Anolis sagrei: one gene and its partners. The protein of the gene in region 4 purifies or fractionates together with the protein of the main gene of each other region. This does not show direct contact. Links are inferred from orthologs where the notes say so. Each region holds a gene or a part of one and is shown on either strand. Other genes may lie near its edges. The genes, in order: SNW1, NPM1, BTRC and HNRNPU.

The links.
Region 1: the proteins of HNRNPU (region 4) and SNW1 purify together in Homo sapiens (affinity purification with mass spectrometry; 3 studies listed by BioGRID and IntAct, with this or other methods). This does not show direct contact. The link is inferred for Anolis sagrei from reciprocal best matches to the Homo sapiens genes HNRNPU and SNW1.
Region 2: the proteins of HNRNPU (region 4) and NPM1 purify together in Homo sapiens (affinity purification with mass spectrometry; 3 studies listed by BioGRID and IntAct, with this or other methods). This does not show direct contact. The link is inferred for Anolis sagrei from reciprocal best matches to the Homo sapiens genes HNRNPU and NPM1.
Region 3: the proteins of HNRNPU (region 4) and BTRC purify together in Homo sapiens (affinity purification with mass spectrometry; 6 studies listed by BioGRID and IntAct, with this or other methods). This does not show direct contact. The link is inferred for Anolis sagrei from reciprocal best matches to the Homo sapiens genes HNRNPU and BTRC.

The regions. Positions count from the first base shown.
Region 1 is NC_090021.1:307,230,612-307,238,405, forward strand, and holds the start of SNW1 (SNW domain-containing protein 1), read right to left. Parts: upstream 3,019-7,794; 5' UTR 2,928-3,018; coding exon 2,914-2,927; intron 1-2,913. UniProt on the Homo sapiens protein: Involved in pre-mRNA splicing as component of the spliceosome. As a component of the minor spliceosome, involved in the splicing of U12-type introns in pre-mRNAs.
Region 2 is NC_090021.1:142,281,759-142,288,715, forward strand, and holds the start of NPM1 (nucleophosmin), read right to left. Parts: upstream 3,006-6,957; 5' UTR 2,903-3,005; coding exon 2,845-2,902; intron 1-2,844. UniProt on the Homo sapiens protein: Involved in diverse cellular processes such as ribosome biogenesis, centrosome duplication, protein chaperoning, histone assembly, cell proliferation, and regulation of tumor suppressors p53/TP53 and ARF.
Region 3 is NC_090023.1:216,207,647-216,214,866, reverse strand, and holds the start of BTRC (F-box/WD repeat-containing protein 1A), read right to left. Parts: upstream 3,003-7,220; 5' UTR 2,889-3,002; coding exon 2,841-2,888; intron 2,762-2,840; exon of another isoform or gene 2,685-2,761; intron 1-2,684. UniProt on the Homo sapiens protein: Substrate recognition component of a SCF (SKP1-CUL1-F-box protein) E3 ubiquitin-protein ligase complex which mediates the ubiquitination and subsequent proteasomal degradation of target proteins. Recognizes and binds to phosphorylated target proteins.
Region 4 is NC_090021.1:54,920,936-54,928,069, reverse strand, and holds the start of HNRNPU (heterogeneous nuclear ribonucleoprotein U), read right to left. Parts: upstream 3,010-7,134; 5' UTR 2,793-3,009; coding exon 2,084-2,792; intron 1,380-2,083; coding exon 1,262-1,379; intron 1,043-1,261; coding exon 969-1,042; intron 1-968. UniProt on the Homo sapiens protein: DNA- and RNA-binding protein involved in several cellular processes such as nuclear chromatin organization, telomere-length regulation, transcription, mRNA alternative splicing and stability, Xist-mediated transcriptional silencing and mitotic cell progression.

The DNA of each region.
Region 1 (7,794 bases), about 250 Mb from region 4:
CAGAAAAGGCATTTTGCTTGACTTCTAGATATACAGGAAAAAATGGATGAGCAGAAAGTGCTCTCTTCAGACTGGTTTTTCAGGGCCATGTACTGTCCTTATGGACATGACCTGTGACTATTACTAGCGTCTACACTCATAGATTCTTGTGGGTAACACACCCTACAGAAAAAGTGGCTCCCTTGAAACCATTACTGCAGAGCTGGTATTGAACAGGGAGATAAGTTCCACATCTTAGGACTGTATTTCTGACGTAATCTTTTTACCTTTAGACTGCGACTCTGGAGACCTGGGTTTGAATCCCTACACATCCATGGCAGCACACTGGCTGACCTTGGTTAAGCCCCTCTCTCAACCTTTGAGGAAGTCAAAGGCAAATCCCATCTGAACAAATCTAGTCAAAAACACCCTTGCTTGGATCACCTTAGGGATGCCACAAGCCAGCAATAGTTTTGGCACCTTGAAGAGAAAGTGAGACAACTGTCCTCTCTAAAGATGAGGACAAGAAAGAACTGACAATGAGTTTCCAAGGGGGCATCTACACTGGAGAACTGATGCACTTTGGCACCACTTTAGCTCCCACAGCTCAGTGCTAAGGAATCCTGGGAGTTGTATTTTCAGCTATCTGTGCCAAATTGCAAATCCCAGAAGTCAACTGCCTTCTTAGGATGCCTCTACACCAGACATGGGATAACTTTGGCCCTTGAGGTGTTTTGAACTTCAGTTCTCATCAATGAACACCATAAAGCAGGCATGGGTGAACTTCACCCCTCCAGGTGTTTTGGACTTCAAGTCCCACAAATCCTAACACTCTAGGCTGTTAGAAATTGTGAGAGTTGAAGTCCAAAACACCTGGAAGACCAAAGTTTGCCCATGCCTGCTCCACGCTGTGGGAATAATGCAGTTTGACACCACTTTTGTTGCCATGGGTCAATGTTAACAAAAGAAATTGTGCGATGTGTTGTTTGATGAGGCAAAGGCGAAGAAAATCTTGTAGAACTACAAGACACACTGGACGAAAGCATTCATATTGTGGCCCTCAGAGGCCCCTTCCACACTGCGCCTAGATCCCAAGGGAACCACTTTTTCTGTAGGGTGTGTTACCCACATGAATCTATGAGTGTAGGTGCTAGTAATAGTCACAGGTCATGTCCATAAGGACAGTACATGGCCCTGAAAAACCAGCCTGAAGAGAGCGCTTTCTGCTCATCCATTTTTCCTGTATATCTGGAAGTCCTGTTTAAGGAGCTCCATTGGCTGCTGTTCATTTCCTGGTCCCAATTCAAGGTGCAGGTGCTCACCTACAAAGCCCTAAAAGGTTTGGGACCCGCCTACCTGCGTGACCGCATCTCCATATATGAACCCACACGATCCCTCCGTTCATCTGGAGAGGCCCTGCTCACGATTCCACCTGCGTCGCAAGCACGTTTGGTGGGGACGAGGGACAGGGCCTTCTCTGTGGTAGCCCCCCCCCCCGACTCTGGAACTCTCTCCCCAAGGACATCAGACAAGCCCCAACGTTGGCAGTCTTTAGGAAGAGCTTGAAGACCTGGCTGTTCCAGTGTGCCTTTCCAGAATAGAAAACTCCCAGCATCATGTCCCAAGCACACTTTACCAGAGATGATTGCCTGTACATCGCACCTAACCTAAAATCCTTACATTTCACCTGTCATGTCCAGCACTTTTAATTTATTCATTACATTTGGCCCGGCCCTAGTTTTAATTGTGTCATGATGTATTGTTTGATGTTTTACTGTTATTGCTTTAATGTTTATTGGTTTGCTTTATGAGTTTTATTGTTGCATTTGTTATGCTGTTGTTTTATTGAGGGCCTTGGCCTTTGTAAGCCGCACCGAGTCCTTCGGGAGATGTTAGCGGGGTACAAATAAAGTTAATAATAATAATAAGTCAGGCAAAATACCTTTTCTGATCCTAGATTATCTGCTTTAAACTGGGTTATATGAGTCTCCACTGCAAGATAATCTAGGATCAGATCCTGCAATATTGGGGTGGTGTGTTGTTGTTCATTCGTTCAGTCGTCTCCAACTCTTCGTGACCTCATGGACCAGCCTACGCCAGAGCTCCCTGTCGGCCGTCACCACCCCCAGCTCCTTCAAGGTCAGTCCAGTCACTTCAAGGATGCCATCCATCCATCTTGTCCTTGGTCAGCCCCTCTTCCTTTTGCCTTCCACTTTCCCCAGCATAATTGTCTTCTCTAGGCTTTCCTGTCTCCTCATGATGTGGCCAAAGTACTTCAACTTTGTCTCTAGTATCCTTCCCTCCAATGAGCATTCGGGCTTTATTTCCTGGAGGATGGACTGATTGGATCTTCTCGCAGTCCAAGGCACTCTCAGCACTTTCCTCCAGCACCTCCAGGAGGAGGAAAGTGGGGTGGTGTGGAAGGGGCCAAAGAGGCCAAGCAAGGCATGGGCTAACTTCCGCCCTCCAGGTGTTCTGGACAGCTGTTAGGAATTATGGGAGTTGAAGTCTAAAACATGGGGGGGGGGGCAAAGTTTGCCCATGCCAACCCAACCCCACTTCAGGTTACAACTGGAACCATTTCAGGTTACAATTTCACAATGGCCCCCTGCCTATCTTTACTGAACACCAAGGCCTTCCCTTCTTTGTTTCTGGAGGGCCAGCCTCCCACGCAAACAAGACAATTTTTCACTTTAGGAAGCGGTCTGAAATAATGAAAGGCCGCCCACTAGAATACTATTAATACCGACTTTTAGGGGAGAATGCCCGTTGCGGCCTAGGCCTCCCTCGAGGCTTTTCCCCTCCACCGAAACCCGCTCACACTCCACGGAAATCAATTACAACCAGAGACTTTCCCGTAAAAGGCTCAGGGAACGGGGTGGCTATCGGCTTCCAATTTCTGATAAGCTCCCGCTTCGCAGCGACAAAACTCACCTGGTCAGCGCCATCTTGCCGCTCTCCTTCTTCCTCCACCTTTGAGGGCCGGGCGCTGAACGAGAAGCCTCGACGGAACTGGCCCGGAAGCCAGGGGCATGCTGGGAATTGTAGTGTTACAGGCGGAGAGGAACGCTCGCGACATGTTTGCGCATGCGCCGCCCTCAGAGCGGGATGTGGTGGCTTGAAGGAGCAGAACAACAACTGGATTCAACACTCAGTTTGGTACAGAGTGGAACTTATTAGCCAAACATTCAGACTCAAGTGGCAAGATTTAAATGATCAGCAAGGAAAGAAAGCCTTTATAAGGACCATTTTGGAGTATGGAAGATATGGATTACTATGACAGTAATGAGAATGGATGTTGCCAACAGATGGAAACAAGTAGATGGGCCCAAAGGATTGCTTAGACCAGGCCTGGGCAAACTTGGGCCTTCCAGACGTTTTGGACTTCAACTCCCACAATTCCTAACAGCCTCAGGCCCTCAAGGAAGGCCCAAGTTTGCCCGGGCCTGGTTGTTAGGAATTGTGGGAGTTGAAGTCCAAAACGCCTGGAAGGCCCAAGTTTGCCCAGGCCTGGTTGAGACGCTTGTATTTTACATTCTCTGCAGTATAGATTGTGTATCTCTTATTGTGCAGGTACAACTGCACCAGGAGCTCCAATTTTGTTTGCTTTCCATTTAATGTTTGTTATAGTTCCAAGTTTCAGGGACTCTGCAGATTTGTTGTTCAGTCGTTCAGTCATCTCCGACTCTTCGTGACCTCATGGACCAGCCCACGCCAGAGCTCCCTGTCGGCCGTCACCACCCCCAGCTCCTTCAAGGTCAGTCCAGTCACTTCAAGGATCCATCCATCTTGCCCTTGGTTGGCCCCTCTTCCTTTTACTTTCCACTTTCCCCAGCATAATTGTCTTCTCTAGGCTTTGCTGTCTCCTCATGATGTGGCCAAAGTACTTCAACTTTGTCTCTAATATCCTTCCCTCCAATGAGCAGTCAAGCTTTATTTCCTGGAGGATTGATTGGTTGGATCTTCTCGCAGTCCAAGGCACTCTCAGAACTCTCCTCCAACACCACAGTTCAAAAGCATTGATCCTCCTTCGCTCAGCCCTCCCCAAGGTCCAGCTCTCACATCCGTAGGTTACTACAGGGAATACCATGGCTTTGACTATGCGGATCTTTGTTGCCAGTCTGATGTCTCTACTCTTTATTATTTTATCGAAACTGGACATTGCTCTCCTCCCAAGAAGTAAGCGTCTTCTGATTTCCTGGCCACAGTCTGTATCTGCAATAATCTTTGCGCCTAGAAATACAAAGTCTGTCACGGCCTCCACATTTTCTCCCTCTATTTTCCAGTTGTCAATCATTCTTGTTTTGTTTCATTTGCACCTTATATACGTATCTTAAAGGTAATTTTATACACAACTCAAAGAACCACTGGTGGGTTAAACCGCTGAGCTGCTGAACTTGTTAACCGAATGGTCGTAGGTTCGAATCCAGGAAGTGGTGTGAGCTCTTGCTGTTAGCCCCAGCTTCTGCCAACCTAGCAAAAAAGGGTGGCTTTTTCAGTTCAAAACCCCTTCAATTAATTTAAGTTGGATAGTGCAGGGTATGTGTGCCACGTTTGGTCCAAATCTATCAAGCCATGTAGGAGCCTTTGTGGTACAAACCAACTAGCCAACATCCATACACAGACACACACACACACGATTAGATAAATAGGAGCCCTCAGTGGCAAAGCAGGTTAAACTGCTGAGCTGCTGAACCTGCTGATCAAAAATTAAGTTCAAATTCGAGGAGCAGGGTGAGCTCCCACTGTTAGCTCCAGCTTCTGCCAATCTAATAGTTCGAAAACATGCAAATATGCGTAGATCAATAGGTACCACTTCGACTGGAAGGTAACGGCACTCCATACAGTCATGCCAGCCACATGACCCTGGAGGTGTCTATGGACAACACTGGCTCTTCGGCTTAGAAATGGAGATGAGCACCACCCCTCAGAGTTGGACATAACTAGACCTAATGTCAGGGGAAAACCTTTACCTTTACCTAGGGTATATACATGGCACTGCCTGAGTTTGCATTTTCTTTTGTGGCTCTTTTCTTCCTTTCCTTAATACACAGTATTTCTTTGTTTCTTTCCTTCTTCCCATGCTTTTCCTTAAAATATCTACCTCCTCTTCTTTTTCTGTACTCTGCCTTTCTTTTTCTCCCCTTCCCTCACTTCTTTTGTTCCTTTTCCCTTTTTTTCTTTCCTTTTTTTTCTTTCTTCCATCCCTTTCCCCATTTCTTCTCCCATCTTTTGTCCTTCCTTTTGTTGGAAATGACAGTTTTCTTCAAGCCTTCTCTAGTAATGTTTATCAATGATCCTGTTGTTTCCTGTTTCCTGTATGTATGCTCTGGTATGCAGCTTCCTTTACTCTATGGTTCCTGAGAAGTTATAAGAGGGGCTGCAGACCACAGGCTCTCTTCCTCTCCTTTTTGACTACTATGTGACCTGTTGACAGTTATTTTTGTTACAAGAGAGATGCCCTGGTTGACTGGCACAGGGAACCATCTCAGACATATCTGAAACTGGACTGATAAGTTTTATCGCTATGTATGCTGAACACATGAATGTTGTGAGTAAACCAAATATGTTATTTTATCAAATAATAATAATAAACCTTTATTTGTATACCGCTCTATCTCCCCAAGGGGACTCAGGGCGGTTTCCATCATGGTAAAGCATTGCAATTACCAACATAAAAACATACAGAAGGGCATTATAAAAAGTATAAACATAGTACTATATAACAATCGTACATATTTAAAATTTAAAAGCCAGTTCAGTACTAATTACAGCGGACAGCTCAGCTTCCAAAGGCCAAGATTCCAAAGTGGGCCTCGACAACTATTTTTCTTATATTGCTGAGATAAAAGGAAAGCTGGTCTGTGATTATTTCTTCTGCTGAGGTAAAATGAAAGCTGTTTTGTGATAGGTTATTTCTTTTACTGCTGAGGCAAAAGGAAAGCTGTACAGCAATTGGTTGCTAGAGCTTAGATTTCATTTCTTATACTGCTGAGGTAAAATAAAAGTTAGGCTGTGAGTGGTTGATTTGGGCATCACAGATTCCTTTGTCTACTCCCGGACTACTTGTTTTACTCTAAATACACGTGTGTATTCAAATGCAACATTGTGTCAAAATTTCATTTTACTCTAAAAACACGTGCGTATTGGAATGTAACCTTGTGTCGAAATGTCAAGTCAATCGGCCGACTACTTTTTGAGTTTTGCGAGCTCAAACATCTGCAGGCTGAGATTTTATATATAAAGACTTTATAAAATTTTGTAATGAATATTGTACATAAAGGCACATTTAGGAAATTAAGCGAATGCTGATCTCTGTGTTACTACATATTTTGTTCACTGTAATTGCTTACAAATAAACTGGTTGTAGAAAATTTGCATAATTTTCCAGAATATCTTTTCACTAGGAAACTGGACCGTGAACCTTTTCCCAAGGCAGGGATGTGCATAACAGGCTTATTAGTCCCTAGAACAGTGGTTCTCAACCTGGGGTCCCTAGATGTTTTTGTCCTACAACCCCCAGAAATCCCAGCCTGTTTGACAGATTTTAGGATTTCTGGGAGTTGAAGGCCAAAAACATCTGGGGACCCCAGGTTGAGAGCCACTGCCCTAGAACTAGTGTATCTCCATTGACAGTGTTACTGCTCAGTAAAATTCTCTTTTTCGTGGTGTTTTCTTCTAGAGAATATATTTAAACTTTTTCAGAATCTGTTTATCATTATCGTAATTACACCAGTGTGGCTTTAGAAAAGAAATCAGCTCTATCTTCCTGGAATGGTGATGTTTGTCATTATTTTTCTTTCTAGTGATAGGGAGGCCTGAGTTAGAAGCCAGCTGTACAGGAAGCTTCGGCTTTCGCACCTGCAAATGTTTTCCCTTGTCATCAACACTTCCATTGTTCCTAATGAGCCCATTTATCCTTGATTATTGACAGTGGTGGCAGAGAAGATTTTGGAAATATCACAGCTTATTGAGAATGTTGATACTTGATAACAGGTCTTGAATATAATATAGTTTATGTGAGAAACTAATCAGGGTCACAAGCATTATGTAAGAAAGACTTATTGTTACATGACTTCAAGCCATTTCCGATTTATGGTGACCCTAAAATTACTGGTTTTTTATTGCAATATTTATTCTGAAAGGGTTTGCTGTTTTTTTGTTTTTGTCTTTGGAGTGAGAATGTGACTTGCCCAAAGTCACCCATTGGATTTCCATAGCTGAGCGAGAATTCGAATTCAGGTCTCGAGTCATACTCCAACACTCAAACCGCTACACTATGCTGGCTAATGGAGCTCAGTGGCCAAAATTGTCTGTCTTTGTGACCTGAATCTTGTTTGCATCATAGATTCATTGTGTATAATGGGAAGGATATCATAGAATTATATCCACCATTCCAGGAGTCTAGCTATGACCCTACAACGTTCCATGGATAGGGGTTTGTAGCTTAGGGAGGAGCCTTTAACGTTTAAAGTGGATTCATTTTCTAGTTTGATGACGTCTTTTGACACTACTAACTTCCATAGCTCAATGCTATGGAATCCTGGAGTTTGAAGTTCTATCTATAGGGTCTTAAGCAGCCATGGGCAAACTTTGGCCCTCCAGGTCGACTTCATAATAATAATAATAATAATCACCATCATCATCACCATCATCATCATCTTTATTTATATCCTGCCCCCTCTTTCTGGAATACAATAAATACAATAAATAATATAACATAGACAATAATTACATATCAATTAAATACATAATTAAGAAAATAAATAATTATTTATCAATTAGTAAAAACAACGTAACACAATGCTGTAAATG
Region 2 (6,957 bases), about 87 Mb from region 4:
GAACAACCAGAGTTGCTCTGGACAAAGGAGACTCAACCTCTATACACAGTATATAGGCCACTGATGTGGCCTATATACAAAGCCTCAAGGTAAATTTATACAAATCAGTTTTAATAATTTTGAGCATGAGACCAAGTTTGGGTACACTGACCCACCAGAAAGTGAAGGAGTCACTCTCAGCCATGAGGACAATTTTGGGAGTATTTGGGGAATTCTGATAATGGAGGCTCAAAATACCTGTACTTTTTATGGGACCAGGGATTCAAAGCACTGCTCAGAGGCTGGATGTATACTGCTATAGAATGCAGTCTGAATTTGCATCACATGGTCAGTGTAGACTCACATATTGCAGCTATACTGGCCATATAATGAAGATTAAAACGGCATTATACGGCAGTATATATCCAGCCTCAGAAGACAAAGAGGCACATCTTGTACAGCACTAACCCATAAATGGCTGCTGTGATTTTATATACTTTTAAGGCTTTAACCTGTTTTTTAATATTAATGTTGCTTAATAAGTGTGTATTTTGTATTTAATATGTGTGTATTTTGTATTTTAAGTTGTATTTCAATGCTTTAGTTGCTTTTAGTTGTGCACCGCTCCGAGTCTCCGTATGGAGAGAAAAAACAAGATATAAACATAATAATAATAATAATAATAATAATGAAAGTCGCTGCTGAATATGCATGCCCATCCTCTGTTCAGATATCAGCCAGCATCTTAAATAAAGAAACAGCTTCCTAATAACTACAGAGATACTCGCTGGAACCTCAGCAAGCGAGCGTCCAAAAGTGGCAGGCTAAAACCTGGAACCTCAATCAGTGGCTGGGAACAGAAGAGAAACTCAGAAAGTTGGGTGACTTGGAAGACACTAAACAGAATGCTCTCTGACACCACGATATGCCGAGCCAACCTTAACAAATTGGGCTACAAAGTGGAGTCCATGGCATGCATGTGTGGAGAAGAGCAAGCCACAGACCACTCACTACAACGCAATCTGAGCCCTGTCACATGTACAATAGAGGACCTACTTACAGCGATACAAGAGACATTCCAAGTGGCCAACTTCTGGTCAAAGGAATTTTGGGATAAGTCCCAGTTTTTAACTTTGTGGGGTTTTTTATATATTATTACATTCTCAAGTCACTTCTGACAAACTAAATAATGAACAATCCTGAAAACAAAGATGTGGACATAAAAGAGATAGCAATGATATTACTCAATTCCATTTTAATGTTTGTAGAGTTTAAAATGCATGGAAAAACTAAGCCACTTTGGAGTCATCTTCTGGAGAGAGAAAGTGGGGTATAAAATAAACATAGTAATAGTAATAATACTACCCCTCTATTCTGCTTTGGTTAGACCACATCTGGAATATTGTGTCCAATTCTGGGCACCACAATTCAAGAGAGATATTGACAAGCTGGAATGTGTCCAGAGGAGGGCGACTAAAATGATCAAGGGTCTGGAGAACAAGCCCTATGAGGAGCGGCTTAGGGAACTGGGCATGTTTAGCCTGAAGAAGAGAAGGCTGAGAGGAGATATGATAGCCATGTATAAATATGTGAGAGGAAGCCACAGGGAGGAGGGAGCAAGCTTGTTTTCTGCTTCCTTGGAGACTAGGACGCGGAACAATGGCTTCAAACTACAAGAGAGGAGATTCCATCTGAACATTAGGAAGAACTTCCTGACTGTGAGAGCCATTCAGCAGTGGAACTCTCTGCCCCGGAGTGTGGTGGAGGCTCCTTCTTTGGAAGCTTTTAAGCAGAGGCTGGATGGCCATTTGTCAGGGGTGATTTGAATGCAATATTCCTGCTTCTTGGCAGGGGGTTGGACTGGATGGCCCATGAGGTCTCTTCCAACTCTTTGATTCTATGATTCTATTCAAAGTAGATAATCTGGGATTAGATTGTGGGATATAGGGTGGAGTGGAAGTGGCCTAAGGCCTAGCAGGAGATTCCATCTGAACATGAGGAAGAACTTCTTGACTGTGAGAGCCGTTCAGCAGTGGAACTCTCTGCCCCGGAGTGTGGTGGAGGGTCCCTCTTTGGATGCTTTTAAACAGAGGCCGGATGGCCATCTTTTGGGGGTGCTTTGAATGCAATATTCCTGCTTCTTGGCAGAGGGTTGGACTGGATGGCCCATGAGGTCTCTTCCAACTCTATGATTCTATCCATGATTCTTGCAGGAATTATTATTATTATTATTATAAGCATAATAATAGTAATAATCCTATTCAAAGTAGATAATCTGGAATTAGATAGTGGGATATAGAGTGGTGTGGAAGTGGCCTGAGGCCTTGCATGATTCTTGCAGGAGGCTGGGCCCCTTCCACACAGCTGAATAAAATCCCACATGTTCTGCTTTGAACTGGAATATATGGCAGTATGGATAACCCAGTTCAAGGCAGATATTCTGGGATATAGGGGGTCCTGTGGCTTTTTCTGAGATGGAGCAATAATGGAGTTGGAAGGGAGCCCCATCTTGCTTTGAAATCCTAACCTAGGAGAGGCAGCGAGCTCGCCTTCTCGATAATAATCATGCCCCAAGGCGCACGGATCCTATTGCAGAGGGAGAATCAAGTAAAGAAGAGCTTGATTCGGGCTAGATTCGGGGCCGAGAGGCTTGGGGCCTTCCTTCTCGCTCCACAGGCCACATGGAAGACGGCTAGGCCCAAGCCTCATGAGGTGGCGGCAGATTCCCTTTCCCGTCCAGCCTGAGGACGAAGGGAGGACAAAGGAGGCCCGCAAGACCCCGAGGTTAAGGGAGGCCCAAGCCACGTGGGAAGGCCTCATGGCGAGCCAGGGAAGGCAGCGTGAGGGGGGGCGCGGGATGGTTACCGAAGAGGAAGGTCTGTGGCCGAAGGGAGCCCATGCTGTCCATGTCGGTGTCTTCCATCTCCTCAACAGCGTCGTCTCTCTCTCTCTCCTCAGCCGAAGGGCGCTTGCTGGGTCTAACGGACGGAATTAGCGCACCCGCAGAAAAGGGCCCGCCTCTTTTCCCTTCCCCCAATATATAGCCCTCGTAGGTCTCGCGAGAAGTGATGCTCTGGCCCATCCGCTGGCTGGGTGCGCAGGCGCGAGCGTGCTCGGAAGGGGCGCACGCGGTCGCCAGGCAAGCGGGGGCCAAAAAGGGAGCGAAGGAGCCCTCTGCTCCGCGCATGCGCGTCCCAACTTCCACCTTGTGCGTCTCTTGAGAGAGCGAGAAGACGCGCAGCAGCCCACCGAGCAAGATGGCGGCGCCTTGTATCGCTCCATTCCTCCTCTAGGGGCCCTTTCACGCAGCAATATAAAGTCCCACATTGAACTGGCTCATACGGCAGTGTGGACTCGGCTAACCCAGTTCAAAGCAGATATTGTGGATGATCTGCCTTGATGTTCTGGGTTAGAGGGCTGTGTGGAAGGGCCCTAATAGCTTTCTTAGTTGATGTTGTTTTCTGGCAGCTGACTAAGAGGCCCTTCCACACAGTAATCTAGCCCACAATGTCAAGGCATGTCATCCACAACATCTGATTTGAACTGGGTTATCTGAGGGCCCTTCCACACAGCCATATAACCCACAATATCAAGGCAGGTGTAACAAAATGTATAATTAAAATGTAGGTTTTAGGTATGTTTATTATTGTCAGCTGATTGGTGGCCTCAGGCCTAGGCATTGCCATAGCAACATAGCTTCCAGGCAGAAAAGAAAGGGGCGGAGCCAACTGCCAATGGAGAAAAGAATGTTGGTTTGAAAAGGGTCAGTTGGTGAGTTAGCTGGAGTCTGAGTTAGTTATGCTGATGACAACGTCTGTGCACATTCAGAAGATGACCTACAAGCCACTCTAAACACCTTCGCAGAAGCTTACAAGAAGCTCAGCCTGTCATTAAACATTGAGAAAACTAAAGTGCTCTGCCAGCAGTCACCAGCCAATCCCTCTCCAATGCCAGAAATACAACTTAATGGTGTAACATTAGAAAATGTTGACCATTTCGGCTACCTTGGCAGCTATCTCTCCACAAAATTCGGCATTGACATCAAAATACAACACTGCCTGAGCTCTGCGAGTGCAGCTTTTTTCCGAATGAAGCAGAGAGTGTTTGAGGACTGGGACATACGTAGGGATACCAAAGTGCTTGTTTATAAAGCTATTGTCCTCCCAACCCTGTTATGTGCCTGCAAGACGTGGACAGTCTACAGATGTCACATGCAACTCCTGGAACCATTCCATCAGTGCTGCCTCCGAAAATTCCTGCAAATCTCTTGGGAAGACAAGCGGACAAATGTCAACGTGCTGGAAGAAGTAAAGACCACCAGCATTGAAGCGATGGTCCTCTGCCATCAACTCCACTGGACCGGCCACATTGTCTGGATGCCCGACCTCCGTCTCCCAAAGCAATTGCTCTATTCCGAACTCAAGAATGGAAAACGGAATGTTGGTGGACAGGAAAAGAGATTCAAAGATGGGCTCAAAGCCAATTTAAAAACTCTGGCATAGACACTGAGAACTGGGAAGCCCTGGCCCTTGAGCACTCCAGGTGGAGGTCAGCCATTACCAGCAGTGCTGTAGAATTTGAAGAGGCACGAATGGAAGGTGAAAGAGAGAAACGTGCCAAGAGGAAGGCGCATCAAGCCAACCCCGACCGGGACCGCCTTCCACCTGGAAACCAATGCCCTCACTGCGAAAGAAGATGCAGATCAAGAATAGGGCTCCACAGTCACCTACAGACCCACTGCCAGGACACTACACTTGGAGGACCATCATCCTTGGACTACGAGGGATCGCCTAAGTAAGTAAGCAGCTGGAGGCAGCTGGAAAATTAGCTAGGGGATACCTAGGGTAGTTGACTGATACCAGGAGGCTAATGACAGTAGAGAGGTTTTAAAGGACCGAGTGGTCAGGATCTCTATGTCAGGTTCAAGGCAGTTAGAAATCAGTTTTCTTGTGTTAATATAAAAAGTCCTTTTGGGAAAAAGAAAAGGCTGGAATGTATCATCTTCATAAAGGAATATTCACATTTTTGTAACTAACAAGCATTTATACTCTTGCAAACCAGCACGCCTTTGTCACAACAATGCAAATAAACTTAACAGTTACTGTTTCAATTTAAGCAAAGTCTGTCAACCTCTCACCTCCAACTTAAAGGGACACAAATGGTGGGATAACAAAGTAAAGGTCCACCCTGCTGAAGTGGTTGCTCGTTTCAATTGGTGACAGCGGTGGGATGATAAAATAAAAGACCCCCCTGCCTGAAGAGTGCCCTACTTTGTTTCAATTGGTGGCAGCGGTGGGATGATGGAAGAAATGATCCACCCTACCTGAAGATTGCCCTGCTTTCCATTTCAATTGGTGGCAGCGGTGAGATGATAAAATAAAAGCCCCCCCCCCCCCCCCGCCTGAAGATTGTTTTGTCCCTTTGCTTTGAAGTGGGCTATCTGAGGGCCCTTCTGTACAGCTGGATAAAATCCCACACATGCTTTGAAGTGGGTTATATGGCAGTGTGGACTCAGATAACCCAGTTCAAATCAGGTATTGTGGGATTTTCCACTTTGATATTCTGAGTTATATGGCTGTGTGGAAGGGCGCCGAGTCCACACTGCCATATAACCCAATTCACAGCAGATGTGGGATTTTACTTAACTGCGTGGAAGGGGCCTTGTGGTATTAATCACACTTCAGAATTAATGCTGTTTGACACAATATGAACTGCCATGACTCAGTGCTGTGGAATCATGGAAGTTGCAGTTTTACAAGGTCTTTAGACCTCTCTGACAAAGAGCACTTCTACACAGCCATATAACCCAGAATATCATTCACAATATCTGCTTTGAGCTGGATTATCTGAGTCCTCACTGCCATATAATAATCCAGTTCAGTGTGGATTTCATACAGCTGTGTGGAAGGGGCCAAGAAGGGCTATTGCCTTTCCAAATTCCAACTCCCATAAGTCCATAGCAGCAAGTCTCAAACTGCATTAATTCAACAGTGTAGATGCACCCCAAGACCCCTAGGGGAGACCTGGTAAGCACTAATTTAGGGCCCTTCCACACAATATAAAGCCAGAATACCAAGTCAGAGAATCCCACAATACCTGCTTTGAACTGGGTTATCTGAGTCCACACTTCCACATATTCCAGTTCAAAGCAGATAATGTGGGATTTTATTCAGATGTGTGGAAGGGGCCTTCAGTAGTCATTTCTTTACTTTAGAAGCCCATTTGGTGCTTGAGAAACATTTCTCCCAGATAATGTGAGGGCTCTGTTTTAAAAAAATGGATTGGATATTGAGACTTGACACGTTAACCCTCAGGGACTAAATGTAAACTAAAGTTTCTCAACCTTCCTAATGCCACAACCCCTTAATATATTTCCTCATGTTGTGGTGACCCCAAACCATTAAATTATTTTCGTTGCTACTTCATAACCGCAATCTTGCTACTGTTATGAATCATAATGTAAATATCTAATATATATTTATTATTTACTTAAAACTTTTATATCCTAATCTTCTCTACCTCCATAGAGGGACTCATGCAGGATGTATTTTCATTTACAGGAGCAAATTTGATGCAAGTATCCAATACACGCAAATTTGAATACTGGTAGGGTTGGGGGAGGCACTGATTTTGTCATTTGGGAGTTGTGATTGATGGGCTTGATAGTTCACCTACAATCAAAGAGCATTCTGAACTCCACCAACGATGGAACTGAACCACACTTGGCACACAGAACTCCCATGACCAACAGAAAATACTAGAAGGATTTGGTGAGTATTGATCTTGAGTTTGGGAGTTGTAGTTCACCTACATCCAGAGAGCACTGTGGACTCAAGCAATGATAGATCTGGACCAAACTTGGCACAAATATGCCAGTATGCCCAAATGTGAATCAAAGAGAATTCTGAACCCCATCAATGATAGAATTAGACCAAAATTCCCGCACAGAACCCCCATATCTTGAAGGAATCTCCTGGC
Region 3 (7,220 bases), on a different chromosome or scaffold from region 4:
AGCAGGTGGCGCTCCCTCTGTCAGCTCCAGCTCCCAATGCAGAAATATGAGAGAAGCCTCCCACAAGAATGCTAAAACATCAAACATCCGGGCATCCCCTGGGCAACGTCCTTGCAGATGACCAATTATCTCACACCAGAAGCAACTTACAGTTTCTCAAGTCACTCCTGACACACACACACACACATGGTTTTCCTTCAGTATATTTCCAATATTTGGACTTCTTTCCTCTCCTCTACCAAAACACAATAAAGCCCCATCATTCTAGTTCATTTTTTAATTTTTAAGAATGACCCAAGATGTCATTAATCTTGTTATTAGCCTGAGTGTATTAAGCTTATTTTAGAAAACCATCCACTTAAAAAAAATTAAAAACACACCAGCGTCTTTCATACTCTTTGGCTTTCCATTATTATCACCATAGGCTATTAGTCACGGTGGCAGTAGAGTCCTGGCGGTGGGTCCATAATGGGGTATAGTATGAGGCCTATTTTTAATGGTAACTCTCACGTAACCAAAAAGTACTTTGATGTGACATCTACAAATCCCTGAGAGTCTACTATACCAAGTATTGCGAAATCCCATCAGCTAACCCATCACCCCCTTTTGTTAGACCTTGAACATTTTTACTTCAACCTAGTTTAGTTTTTAAAATAATATGACCCAAGATTTCATTAACCTGATGTATTAGCCTAGGCCCTTTCCACACCTCTGAATAAAATCCCACATTATCTGCTCTGAACTGGGTTATATGGCAGTAGTTCAAAACAGTTACTGTGGGATTTTCTGCCTTGATTCTCTGGGGCCCCTTTCACACATCTGCATAAAATCCACATTATCTGCTTTGAACTAGGTTGATGAACAGGTTTACATTCTCACACTATTGCTTAGCCTCAACGTTTTATCATTGGAGTATATGCCCCCCCCCTTTGTGAAAAAGCCTGATTCCACAACCCCCACTATGAGTCCTCCTCCGCAAATAATCTGACTCTCTCTTATCTCGCCTGAGTTTTAATTAGTTTTAATCAGTCTCTCTTTTAATCATTATATGTAGCCCGCCCTTTGTCATTGTGATTGTGCCTATTGTAATTTTATATTGCTATATTTTCATATGTTTTATGTAATTATGTTGTTTGTTGTTTATTGTTTGCGTTTTCGGTTTTATTTTATTGTAATTTTCTGTTTGGGGTTGGCCTCATGTAAGCCGCTCCGAGTCCCCAATGGGGAGATGGTGGCGGGGTATAAATAAAGTTTATTATTATATGGCAGTGTAGACTCAGATAACCCAGTTCAAAGCGGTTATTGTGGGATTTTCTGCCTTGATATTCTAGGGCCCCTTCCACACAGCTGCATAAAATCCCACATTATCTGCTTTGAACTGGGTTATATGGCAATGTGAACTCAGATAACCCAGTTCAAAGCAGTTATTGTGGATTATCTCCCTTGATATTCTATTTTATATGCCTGTGTGGAATGGCCCTGGGTGTATTAACCTTGTTTTAGAACAAATACAGCCCTCCACTTAAAAAACAACAACCATAAAAACCATCACCTGCATAATTCATACTGTCACCAAGAACCCTCTTATGTTTTATGTAATTATGTTGTTTGTTGTTTATTGTTTGCGTTTTCGGTTTTATTTTATTGTAATTTTCTGTTTGGGGTTGGCCTCATGTAAGCCGCTCCGAGTCCCCATTGGGGAGATGGTGGCGGGGTATAAATAAAGATTATTATTATTATTATTATTATTATATGGCAGTGTGGACTCAGATAACCCAGTTCAAAGCAGTTATTGCGGGATTTTCTGCCTTGATATTCTGGGGCCCCTTCCACACAGCTGCATAAAATCCCACATTATTTGCTTTGAAAGGGGTTATATCGCAGTGTGGACTTATTGCGAGATTTTCTGCCTTGATATTCTAGGGCCCCTTCCACACAGCTGCATAAAATCCCACATTATCTGCTTTGAACTGGGTTATATGGCAGTGTGGACTCAGATAACCCAGTTCAAAGAAGTTATTTTGGATTATCTGCCTTGATAATCTATTTTATACTAGCCGTCCCTGCCACGAATTTCTGTGGTACAGTTGGTGTATATGTTTTGTGTGTGTATAAATATGCATATTTGTGTATATGTGTATATATGTGGTTTTGCACATGCGTTGTAATGTATTGGGGGGGGGGCTTTTTAAGTCTCTTCCACTGTGTTTTTCAGTGTTTTTATGAGTGATGGTCATTTGTTGACCTGATAGTTGTATTGTGTCCAAATTTGGTGTCAATTCATCCAGTAGCTTTTGAGTTACATGAATCCCACAAACGAACATTACATTTTTATTTATATAGATGGCTGTGTGGAAGGGCCCTGGCTTAGAACAAATACAGCCCTCCACTTAAAAACAAACAAAGATAAACCCATCACCTGCATCATTCAAAGTCTGTCACCAAGAACCCTCTTCAAAGCCAAAGGAATGCTAAATCCCATCAGCTGCTGCATCATTCCCTCTTCTCAGGCCTTGACTACTTTTCCTTCACTAGCTTCCCAATCGTTGTCCTTCTTCCTCCTCCAACCAGCCACTGATACCACAAAGCCTCCATCATTGCAGTTTAGAGCCTTGTTGTTGAATTTAAAAAACACATATTAAAGATTCTTGGAAACAGGTAGGGAAGAGCTATGGCGGGCTTACCCCCCTTCCTTCTCCTCCAGCCACTACCTCATTTCGCAGGTACCCCGGGTTGCCAGGGAAACCTCTCAGCCCGTATCGCCTCCCTCCTCCTCCTCTTCTTCTTCGCCATTCACTTCCTCCCTCCGCCACAAACCCTCCCTCTCTCTTCCTCCTCACCATGAACTTGAGGGCCTTCTCCTGCACCACCGCCTCGGCCGGGTCCATCGCCCCTCTCCTCTGCCGCTGCTCCCCCGCCAGCTCCGGGCCTGAGGCCTGGGCCTAGGCCGCCCCCGCTCTCCCTCCCTTTCCCTCAGTGCAAGGCCGCAGACAGCGCAGCGGCAAACAGGAAGCCCCTGCTTTCCTCCCGCTCGGCTCACTGGGAAATGTAGTCCCAGGCCCGTTTACCGAGCAGATTCCGGCACCGCTATTGGACTACACTTCCCAACAAGCCCTGCGACAGGGGATACGCTGAGCAGGCCGCCTCTTGGAGGAGGAGAGAATAGGCGCTGAGGGAAGTGAGAGCGTGTGCTCGCAAGGGCTGATGGGAGCTGTAGTTCTGACTTGAGCCTCGACCTCTAATAGGGACTTGTAAACTCTGTCACAAAACAGAGGGAGAAAATGTGGAGGCTGTGTCAGAGTTTGTATTTCTAGGTGCAAAGATTACAGCAGATGCAGACTGTGGCCAGGAAATCAGAAGACGCTTACTTCTTGGAAGGAGAGCAATGACCAATCAGGATAAAATAGTGAAGAGTAGAGACATCAGACTGGCAACAAAGATCCGCCTAGTCAAAGCCATGGTATTCCCTGTAGTCACCTACGGATGTGAGAGCTGGACCTTAGGGAAGGCTGAGCGAAGGAAGATCGATGCTTTTGAGCTGTGGTGTTGGAGGAAAGTGCTGAGAGTGCCTTGGACTGCGAGAAGATCCAACCAGCCCATCCTCCAGGAAATAAAGCCCGACTGCTCATTGGAGGGAAGGATACTAGAGACAAAGTTGAAGTACTTTGGCCACATCATGAGGAGACAGCAAAGCCTGGAGAAGACAATTATGCTGGGGAAAGTGGAAGGCAAAAGGAAGAGGGGCCGACCAAGGGCAAGATGGATGGATGGCATCCTTGAAGTGACTGGACTGACCTTGAAGGAGCTGCGGGTGGTGATGGCCGACAGGGAGCTCTGGCGTGGGCTTGTCCATGAGGTCACGAAGAGTCGGAGACGACTGAACGAATGAACAAGAACAACAAAACTCTGTCACGATTTGCTCCTTTCAATGCTTCCCAAACTTTAATCCTCTAGGTGTTTAGACTTCAACTCCCAGAAGCCTCGGCTGCCTTGGCCAATGGTCAGAGATTCTGGGAGCTGAAATCCCAAACTCATTGGGCCCTTCCACACAGCCCAATATCCTACCTAGAACATCGAGGCAGAAAATCCCAGAATATCTGCTTTGAACTGGGTTATCTGAGTCCACACTCAGGTCATGTGGGTTTTCCTACCTTAATATTCTGGGCTAGAGGGCTGTGTGGAAGGGCCCTTAGAGGACTTTGGCTTTATTTATATATTTATTTATTTACAGTATTTATATATATTAAATAAATATGGCAGTGTGGACTCAAATAATCTAGATGAAAACAGATATTGTGAGGGTTTTTTTTTTTTTTTGCCTTGATATTCTGGGGCCTCTTCCACACAGCTGAATAAAATCCCACATTTTCTGCTTTGAACTGGAATATATGGCAGTGTGGGATCAGAACCCTTACAGACAGCCATACAACCCAGAATATAAAGGCAGGAAATCTCACAATATCTGCTTTGAACTGGAATATATGGCGGCGTGGGCTCAAATAACCCAGTTCAAAGCAGATAATGTGGGATTTAATTTTTTTTGCCTTGATATTCTGGGTTATATGGAAGGGCCCTGTGTTTGGGAAACAATCTACAGCAGTGATTCCCAAACTTTGTACAGATTTTGAGGCTTCATATCCCAAATTTCCTGACTAAGCGCCCTTCCAGATAGGCCCTATATGCCAGTATCTGATCCGAGGTTTTCTGCTTTAAACTGGATTATATGACTCCCCACTGCCAGATAATCTGGGAAAAACATAAAACCTGGGATCAGGTCCTGGGATATAGGGCCTGTCTGGAAGGGCTTTAAGGCTTAAGGGAGCTGAAGTCCCAAACTACTGCATGACTCACGTTTGGTAACCATGGAACTACAGTGCAGTTTGACACCACTTTAGCTGCCTTGGCTCAATGTATGGAATAATGGGAGTTGTAGCTTTACAAGAGCTGTATGTGGCCTCCTTGGTGCCTCTCTATGATTCCATAGCATTGAGCCATGACTGTTACAATGGTGCCAAACTGCATTAATTCTACAATATAGACCAGACATGGGCAAACTTTGGCCCTCCCGGGATTTTGGATTCCAACTCCCAGAAATCCCAGCTAGTTAGGAATTGTGGGAGTTGAAATCCAAAACACCTGGAGGGACAAACTTTGCTCATGCTTGGTATGGACGCACCCTAAGTCCTTGTTTTAGATGTACTTGTAATTTAAATTTTAGTAGTGGAGAATATGACAGCAAAGAATGAGAAGAAAGTCATGTTAACCAAACGACAGAAAGAAGGAAAGAGTGCCAACAGCCAAAATAACCACAGCTGATTATAAGTGAATGTAAGCATCCACATTTCGTACCTTGTTTCATGTAGCAGGTGTCTTTGGAGAGCATAGGGACAAATGTGAGGGCAACCACGTACTCATTGGTTGGTCTTAGGCAGGCTACTTATCTTTCTTATAGACTCACCCCACTTGCCAAATCATAATAAAATGGGCATGTTATAAAAGCCCCCCCCTCCATAATGAACAAGATAGCCTCTCATTAAATGATGTTGCTTCCAAAATCATTACAATCTGTCTCTCTTAAATTATTATCAGTTCACTTTGATATCTTCAAAATGTATTATTTCTTTAATTCCAGGACTCATAACTTTTGTGAGCCTCGTAGCAGTACATCAGTTTTAGAAGATTAGTTGTTGGTTTATATTATCTTAACTGGATAAACTGAGAGGGATGTAGTAGTTAAAATAATTTACACAGTCATCTACTGCATCCTTCACATTCCTTCCATTCCCTACACAATGATGTTGTTGTGTTACCTGGCAAACATGAAGCCAAGATTTATGTGAATCCAACTGATTCAGGACTTGCAACTAGATGGAAGTCATCAAGTATATGAGAAATTCTGGCTATTCAATAATCATTATGGAAAGAGTATGTTTATAAGCTTTTCTTATTACTTAAACACAACAGCGTAACTTTACTGAGTGTTCTGCTTATCCAAAGTCCTCTTAAGAGTTTCAGGCCCCAGGTAGGAACACCTGCTGCTTCCCCAGAGGAATAGAATATCTACCATGTTATCTAGAAGCAGCTGTAACTGTCTGGTCAGGATGGATTAAGGTATGCTAGTGCTGAAATGATCACATGGAACATCTGTGGCAACAGCGAGTCCTCCTTGGATTAATCTAGGGATGCATCTGTAATGACAGGCAAACAGAAGAATGTGTGCTGTATAATGAGACATGAAAAATCCAAGATGTGTTCTGCGTTAAAAATAATAATTCCAAATACAGTAGACTTGCAGTTAACCAGAACCCAAGGAAACAACAACAAAATAGAATAATAATTCATTCCCAAACCTGTTTTTATAATACAGTAAAACTGTGTTGCATTGAGTTATATTTGTCTTTATTTGCTTTTAATTACGGCATTTCAATATTAATATGAAGTCAAGTGTATGCTATGGTACAGCTAGGCCTATTTTAAATACTTACGCTCAAGCAACCAGAAGTTACATTTATCCGCATCTAACAATCTCCATGGGTGCCAGTTAAATAAGCACTATATATGTATTCCCTTTCTTGCTTTTCCCTATATTTGTATTTAGGAAGCACCCCCCTCTACCCCCCTCCACACACACACACACGTAGATTGTGTATTTGGAAAACTTTGCTTTTCTGCTTACAGATTAAAAGGAAACTGAAAAGCTTATTTTTAATTTAAATTTTCTACCTTCAAGGACTTCTTCCTACCTCAACTCATCTGCCAAGGAATCCCCCTCCCAATACACACTGATTTTACTGCAGCAAATTCTCAGTTCATGTTGAAAACTTATTAGAGGATTTTTGTCATCTACTGTGAACTTGCACAACAAAATGCATTATGTGACATATTCAACACTCCCCAACAGTTTTGCATTGCAGGAGAGGAAATATGAAGGTCAAGTTGTCTTTCAGGTTAACTTGTCCACCTTCTCATTGAAGTTCTCCAGACATACTTGAAAACATTTCTAGAGTACTAGGAATACAACTTGAAAACTGTGGCGCTAGAATATAATAATAATAATAATAATAATAATAATAATTATTATTATTATTATTTGAAACACAACAAGATGAGTCCACAGCAGACACTCTGCTGGCTGTTGTATTGGATCAGGCATTGGACACTTCCCAAGTGTCTAGGACTGTGTGATGTATTGGTGAATAATGAGTGCAGATCCCAGTAAG
Region 4 (7,134 bases):
TGCGAAGTACTGGAATTTTCTATTCTGAATTGCCCAGTAATGAAACTTCCTATTTCTAACTTTGGATTTAGGCCTCTTGATAAAACAATATGGTATCATGCTTTTGTTTCTTAAAATCATTCTGTGCTTTCAAGTCATTAATGACTTGTGGAAATCCTAATGAAAATGAATGCATCACTGGGCTTTTCTGGTAAATACTCTATTGAAGCGAGTTTGCCTTTGCCACCTTCTGGGGCTTCTAGAGTATACAACTTGCTCAAGGTTACCCAATGGGTTTCCAGGGTCAAGACTTCAAACCCCTGTTCTATAGAGTAACTCCACACCTGCCATTTTTTCCACATACTTGACAGAATTCTAGTTTTTTAAAAATGTGCAAAGCTCAGAATTTAAGATATTTGCATTACAGATGGAATCCTACCAGCACGTAACACCAGAAAAGACAAGATAAAATCTGCTGTTTTCAGGCAACTTATTTTTTCAACAGCTCTTTTGGAAAAGTACAGAATGGAAATCTGGTTTGACAATATACATTCTTCATTTCATGCTTTGCCTTTTAGACCTAGTATGACTTTTACACTAGTATGAACAGACTAATGCAGGCAGGGGAAAACTTTGGCCCACCTGGTGTTTTGGACTTCAACTCCCACAATTCCTAACAGCCTCGGGCCCTTTCCTTTTCCCCTTCAGCCACTCAAGCTTAAGCAGCTGAGGGGGAAAAGGGCCTGAGGTCGTTAGGAATTGTGGGAGTTGAAGTCCAGGAGGGCCAAAGTTTTCCCCTGCCTGCTCTAATGTGACTAAAAGCAGGCTAACATCCGAAAATATTAAGTATATGAACTACAGCTGAAATTATGCCTGCTATGATCATATTATCCATATATACAAATATATAAAAGCAACTGTTGAATACATTACAGTTGTCATCCTGAAAAATGTATTTGAAGAGACAAGAACACTTCTTTTGTACTTACAAGTATCAAGACAAACCACTGTGTCATCGAAGTGTTCATCCTCTTCTTCAACTGGTGGCTGCGGAGATTTGGCCCTAACCAATAAAAGAAATCGCTTGAATACAATCCATCAATAGGGATTTTAAAAATGAAAAATAGATATTATATATGAACTAAAAATACATATTTTATATATATAATGTATGTATGTGTATATATATACACACACACAATTAAAATATATGTATGTATATGAATATATAAAAAAATATATGGATATATGTATATCAAGAATTGTGTATTACTATATTTACCTGCTGTATTTATTCTCCTCAATATACTCAAAGTAACCTCGTCCATGGTCTTCACGTGGCCTTTTCACTCCCCTTTTTTTCTCTCCGGATTTTTGCTCAGATTTGGCTTCTTTATTATCTTTTTGCGGGAGGGGGAAAAAAGGGAACGTTGGAAGCCATACAATTAAGTCACGCAAACAACAGACAAAATGAGTTGCTCCAAGTTTTCCGGATGTATGGCCATGTTCCAGAAGCATTCTCTCCTGACATTTCGCCTGCATCTATGGCAGGCATGGCTGTGAGACCATAGATTAAGGCGAAACGCCAGAAGAGAATGCTTCTGGAACATGGCCATACTACCCAAAAACCTTAGGGATTCCGGTCATGAAAGCCTTCGACAAGACAGAAAATCAAATCCCGCGTGGCGTCAGGGCGCCCTCTAGCGGGGGCTTCCGGCAGGCGCTGCCTCTCCCTGGACTCCCCCGCCTCCTTTTGTGCTCAAGGTTTGAACCAGAGCCCGCAGCGCCTCACGGGCGGAAGTGACGCAAGCGGCAGAAAGCGCTCCCTCCTCGCAGGGCTCCACAGCGCGCCCCAGCGGCTCCTGCGCGCTGCGCTCTCTCTCCTTCCCCCCCACCCTGCGCGCGCGAAATGGCGGAAGCCCCTCCCCCATCCCACCACCACCATTACAGGCGCCTCTTGGCGCGCGAGGCCTAGATTTCCCCCCCTTTCTCTTCTTCACAGAAACAGGAGGGAAAGGGGGGGAAAACCAAGATGGCGCCTCGCCCTGACCCCGCTCCGAGGCGCCAACCGCCGACGCCCATCCGGGCCCCACGCACGACTCACCCGCAGGACGCGGCGCGGCCCCTCCGGGCTTGGGCTGTTGGGCCTGCTGCTGCTGCTGAGGCGCCGCCGCCGGCTGCGATTGCGACTGAGCCCCGGACGAGGCCTGCTTGGCGCCGGTCTGGGCCGAAGGCGCCGGAGCCGCGGAGGCCTCGGGCGCGGCTGCCTTGGCGCCGGGAGCCTCCTTGGCCCCGTGGCCGTTGGCATTGCCGCCCCCGGTCCCGCTGCCGGCCGGCGCGGCGGCTGAGGCGGCCTCGTCCTCCTCGTCCTCGCCCTCCTGGAAGCCCTGGTCGTCGCCGTTCTCGTCCTCGTCCTCCTCCTCCAAGTCCTCCTCCCGGGCGGCGGCCCGCTCGCCGTTCTCCTCGCCCACCTCCATGCCCTCCTCCTCGTCGTCCTCCTCCTCCGCGCAGCCGCCGAACTCGGCCTCCTCCTCCTCGTCGTCGTAGGCCGCGGCCTGGCCGGGCCCGCCGCCTGCTGCCGGGGCCAGGAGTTGCTCCGAGGCGCCGCCCGCCGCGCCGCCCTCCTCCTCCTCGGCGTTGCCGTTGCCCGGCTCGGCCAGGCCTCCGCCGCCGGCCTCCTCGCGGTCCAGCGCCGTCTGGAGCCGCTCCATCAGGTCGGCCTTGAGGCCTTTGTCGGAGAGGCGCCGCTTCTTCAGCTCCTCGCGGAGCTCCGACACCTTCAGCTTCTTCACGTTCACCGGCGAGCTGCTCATGGCGATAGCGGCGAGGGCCTCTCCGTGGGCGGCGGGGGCTCTAGCGGAGTGCGGCCTGGACGTCGGCGGCTGGCCCGGATCACCTTCCTCGGGGGCTGCGGAGAAGGAAGGAAGCAAGCAAGGAAGGAAGGAAAGACCCGCCTGGCGCCAAATCCTTTCAGCAAGGCTCGCGAGGCAGGGGCCGGGGACGCGCCTCGCGGGGTCGAGCACGCAACGCCACGCTGCCCCGCCCCCGCCCCGCGCCTTATATGGCCTAGCCACGCCCCTTCGCGCTCCCGCTCTCCCTCTCTCCCCCTCCTCTCTCTCTCCCTCCCTCCCACCCGCGCCGCTACCGTAAGTGCAGGCCCTGGCGCAGCATTACCGTAAGTGCGCAGCCAAAGCCTTCAGGCCTTATCATAGAATCAAAGAGTTGGAAGAGACCTCATGGGCCATCCAGTCCAACCCCCTGCCAAGAAGCAGGAACATTGCATTCAAATCACCCCTGACAGATGGCCACCCAGCCTCTGTTTAAAAGCTTCCAAAGAAGGAGCTTCCACCACATTCCGGGGCAGAGAGTTCCACTGCTGAACGTCTCTCACAGTCAGGAAGTTCTTCCTCATGTTCAGATGGAATCTCCTCTCTTGTAGTTTGAAGCCATTGTTCCGCGTCCTATTCTCCAAGGAAGCAGAAAACAAGTTCGCTCCCTCTTCACATATTTTTATACATAGCTATCATATCTCCTCTCAGCCTTCTCTTCTTCAGGCTAAACATACCCAGCTCTTTAAGCCGCTCCTCATAGGGCTTGTTCTCCAGACCCTTTATCATTTTAATTGCCCTCCTCTGGACACATTCCAGCTTGTCAACATCTCTCTTGAATTGTGGTGCCCAGAATTGGACACAACAGAAACCCCTTAACAAGGGGTGCATTTACACTGTAGAATTAATGCAGTTTGGCACCACGTAAATGCCAGGGCTCAATGCTTTGGCTTTGTGGGAGCTGTAGTTTTACAAGATCTTTTCTGCCAAAGGGGTCATTCCATGCCAAGTGGTCTAAACCAGGGGTCCTCAGACTCTTTAAACAGGGGGCCAGGTCACATTCCCTTAAACTGTTGGAGGGCCGGATTATAATTTGAAAAAAAAAAAAGAATTCCTATGCACACGGCACACATCTTATTTGTAGTGCAAAAAAAACTTTAAAACAATACAATAATTAAAATGAACAATTTTAACAAATAGAAATATATTAGTATTTCAATGGGAAGTGTGGGGCTGCTTTTGGCCGATCAGATAGGATTGTTGTTGTTGCATGCTTTCAAGGCATTTCAGACGTGGTTGACCCTGAGCGAGGGCCGGGTAAACAGTCTTGGAGGGTCGTATTTGGCCCTCGGGCCTTAATTTGAGGACCCCTGGTCTAAATCTTCTCACCACCACTCGGAGCGGCTCACAGAAACACCCCAAGTGCTTATAAACAACAGTACATAGGTAGTATATAAAGTGAGATAAATATTAAAGCAACAATGCACATAAAAACCCAACTGATAAGATTATAAAAATTGTAAAAGATTATAAAATTTTCTAAACCACAGTAGAATCTGCAAATAAAGCTGGCTATTTGCCGTAACAAATCAAAGTGCAGAGTGACTCGATCCTCGAGCTGATCATAGATTATACAGGGTCAAAGGCCTGTCTGAAAAGCCATGTTTTTGAACTCGAGTGGGGGCCAATCTAATTTCTTTAGGGAGGGGACATCAAAAAATTAAAATAGACAGATTATACCGTACTACCAGCAAAAAATAGCAAGAACTTGGAATGAATATTGCAGAAAATCAAGGACAAAAGTGCAAAGGCAAATTTACAGTTGAACATGGAGCAAACTAAAAATAATGACAACTATATAACTTAGAAATAAGCAAAGACATTGAAATAAAGATTCTCCATACTTTGGCTCGGTCGATATTCAGGATGGCGCCTGCAGTCAAGAAATCAGAAGAAGACAGCTATGAAGGAACTTCTGATGTGTAAAATAGATCATTGTATCTTAGGACTGACCATGGGATTGTATTCCCCACTTCTATGTACAGTTGTGAAAACTGAAGAATGAAGGGCGCTGAACAGTGGGTAAACTGATAGGAAGAATATCATTCCGTTTTAAAAGTGCAGAAGAAAAATTCTGTGGACACCATGGATTGCTAAAAAGACAAATCAATGACCCATAGAAGAAATCAAGCCTGAACTCTCGCTCGATGAATAAACGGAAACCATTTTGGTCATATCATGAAAAGGCATGGCTCACTAAAAAAGACAATAATGCTTGTTAAGTTAGAAGGCAATAGGAAAAAGCGGACAGTATTCCAGATAGGTTCTTACTAAAGGAAGCCACAGTCCTGAGTCAGCAAGATTTTAAAAAGGAGGCTGGCAATAGAGGGACTTGAGGTCAAAGTCAAAATTGACTGACGGCAGTTAAGAACAGCAACTCTATGCCAGCTCTCAGGACTCTTCTTCAAATTTCAAATGTGTTGATTTTCTTCCTATCAGGCTTAAGAACCATTTTGATCTGGATTATTCTGACTTTGATGTTTAATAATACATCTTTAGGCTTGAGGGTCTTATCAAGTTCCTTCACGGCCACACTTCCAAGTCTTCTGGTTTATTGGCAGCATTCCTCATTTTGATTAATGATTGAGCAAAGGTGTGGAGAATAATCTGCGTCTTCATAGTATTCAATTGTCACGTTGCTTTTGAACTTCTTTCATTTTCATCAGTATTTTCTAAAAGTCTTCGCTATTTTCTGCAAGTGAATGTGGTGTCATAGAACCGTAATTTCTCATGGTGTGTGTACACACACGCACATATAAAGCCCCATTTAGCCTGGACACAACAATCCAGTATTCACTTGCATTCTGCAAGAAAAATCATGCTGATGTACTAGGTCACATAAACAGCCCAAGTACACCCAATCCTTTATTCTCTTCCCACAATAGGCAACTAGATTTAAAATGATTGTGGGAACTTGTGTTCTTCAGCCATTAATATACAGAGGCTTACTTGCTTATTGCCAGTAGGGACAGAATTTCATCTATACTGACAATTGTGCTATCACCACTCAAGCTTTAATAGGCAGTAAGAGTGCCTAAAGCTTCCCAAAGCTTTAGGCACTCTTACTGCCTATTACAAAGAAACCCAGCTGATTCCTACTCCACCTAAAACACAGACATGTGCTTTTCATCTTAAGAACTGACAAGCATCTCGAGCTCAGGATTACCTGGGAATGAATCCCACTGGAGCACTGCAGCACACCCAAATACCTGGAAGTTAGTCTGGACTGTGCTCTGACTTAGAAAAAGCACTGCTTGACTATCAAGCAAAAAGTGGGTGCTAGAAACAATATCATATGAAATCTGACTGGCATAACCTGGGGATCACAACCAGATACAGTTAAGACATCTGCCCTTGCGCTTTGCTACTCTACTGCTGAGTTCGCATGCCCAGTATGGAATACATCTCACCCTGTTAAAACAGTGGATGTGGCTCTTAATGAGACATGCCACATTATCACAGGACATGTATGCCCAACACTGTTGGAGAAATTATATTGTTTAGCCGGTATTGCACCACCTGATATCCACCAGGAACTAGCAGCCAGCAGTTAAAGTACCAAGGCATTGACATCTCCAGCCCATCACCTGTTTGGATATCAGCCAGCAAGCCAACGTCTTAAATCAAGAAACAGCTTCCTAAGATCTACAGATACTTGCAGGAAAACCTCAGCAAGCGAGAGTCCAGAAGTGGCAGGTTAAAATGCAGCACCTCAAGCAGTGGCTGATACCAGATGAGAAACTCCCTCCTGGGCACAGAGAAGACTGGGTGACTGGGAAGGCACTGAACAGATTGTGCTCTGGCACCACGAGATGCAGACCCAACCTTAAGGAATGGGGCTACAAAGAGGAGTCCATGAAATGCAAGTGTGGAAAAGAGCAAACCACAGACTACCTTCTACAATGCAGTATGAGCCCTGCCACATGCACAATGGAGGACCTCCTTACAGCCACATGCGAGACATTCCAAGTGGTCAGCTTCTAGTCAAAGGAAATCTAGCATAATGCCAAGTTTTAAATTTGTGTTTTTTATACATTATAACTGTATTCTCAATTTGCTTCTGACACGATAAATAAATGCTTGCTTTCTGTTCTGGAAATAATATACAAAATATCTCCTATCACAAAGGTGCTGATGGCTTCTAAGTCATTGTCCCCTTTAAAGTGATTTGGGTCACCACAACCATGCTCTGTGTTTAACTCAGTGCACTGTGAAGAATTGAGACTAGGTCTGTGCTAACATTGAAATCCAAGGTAAAGTGATCCAG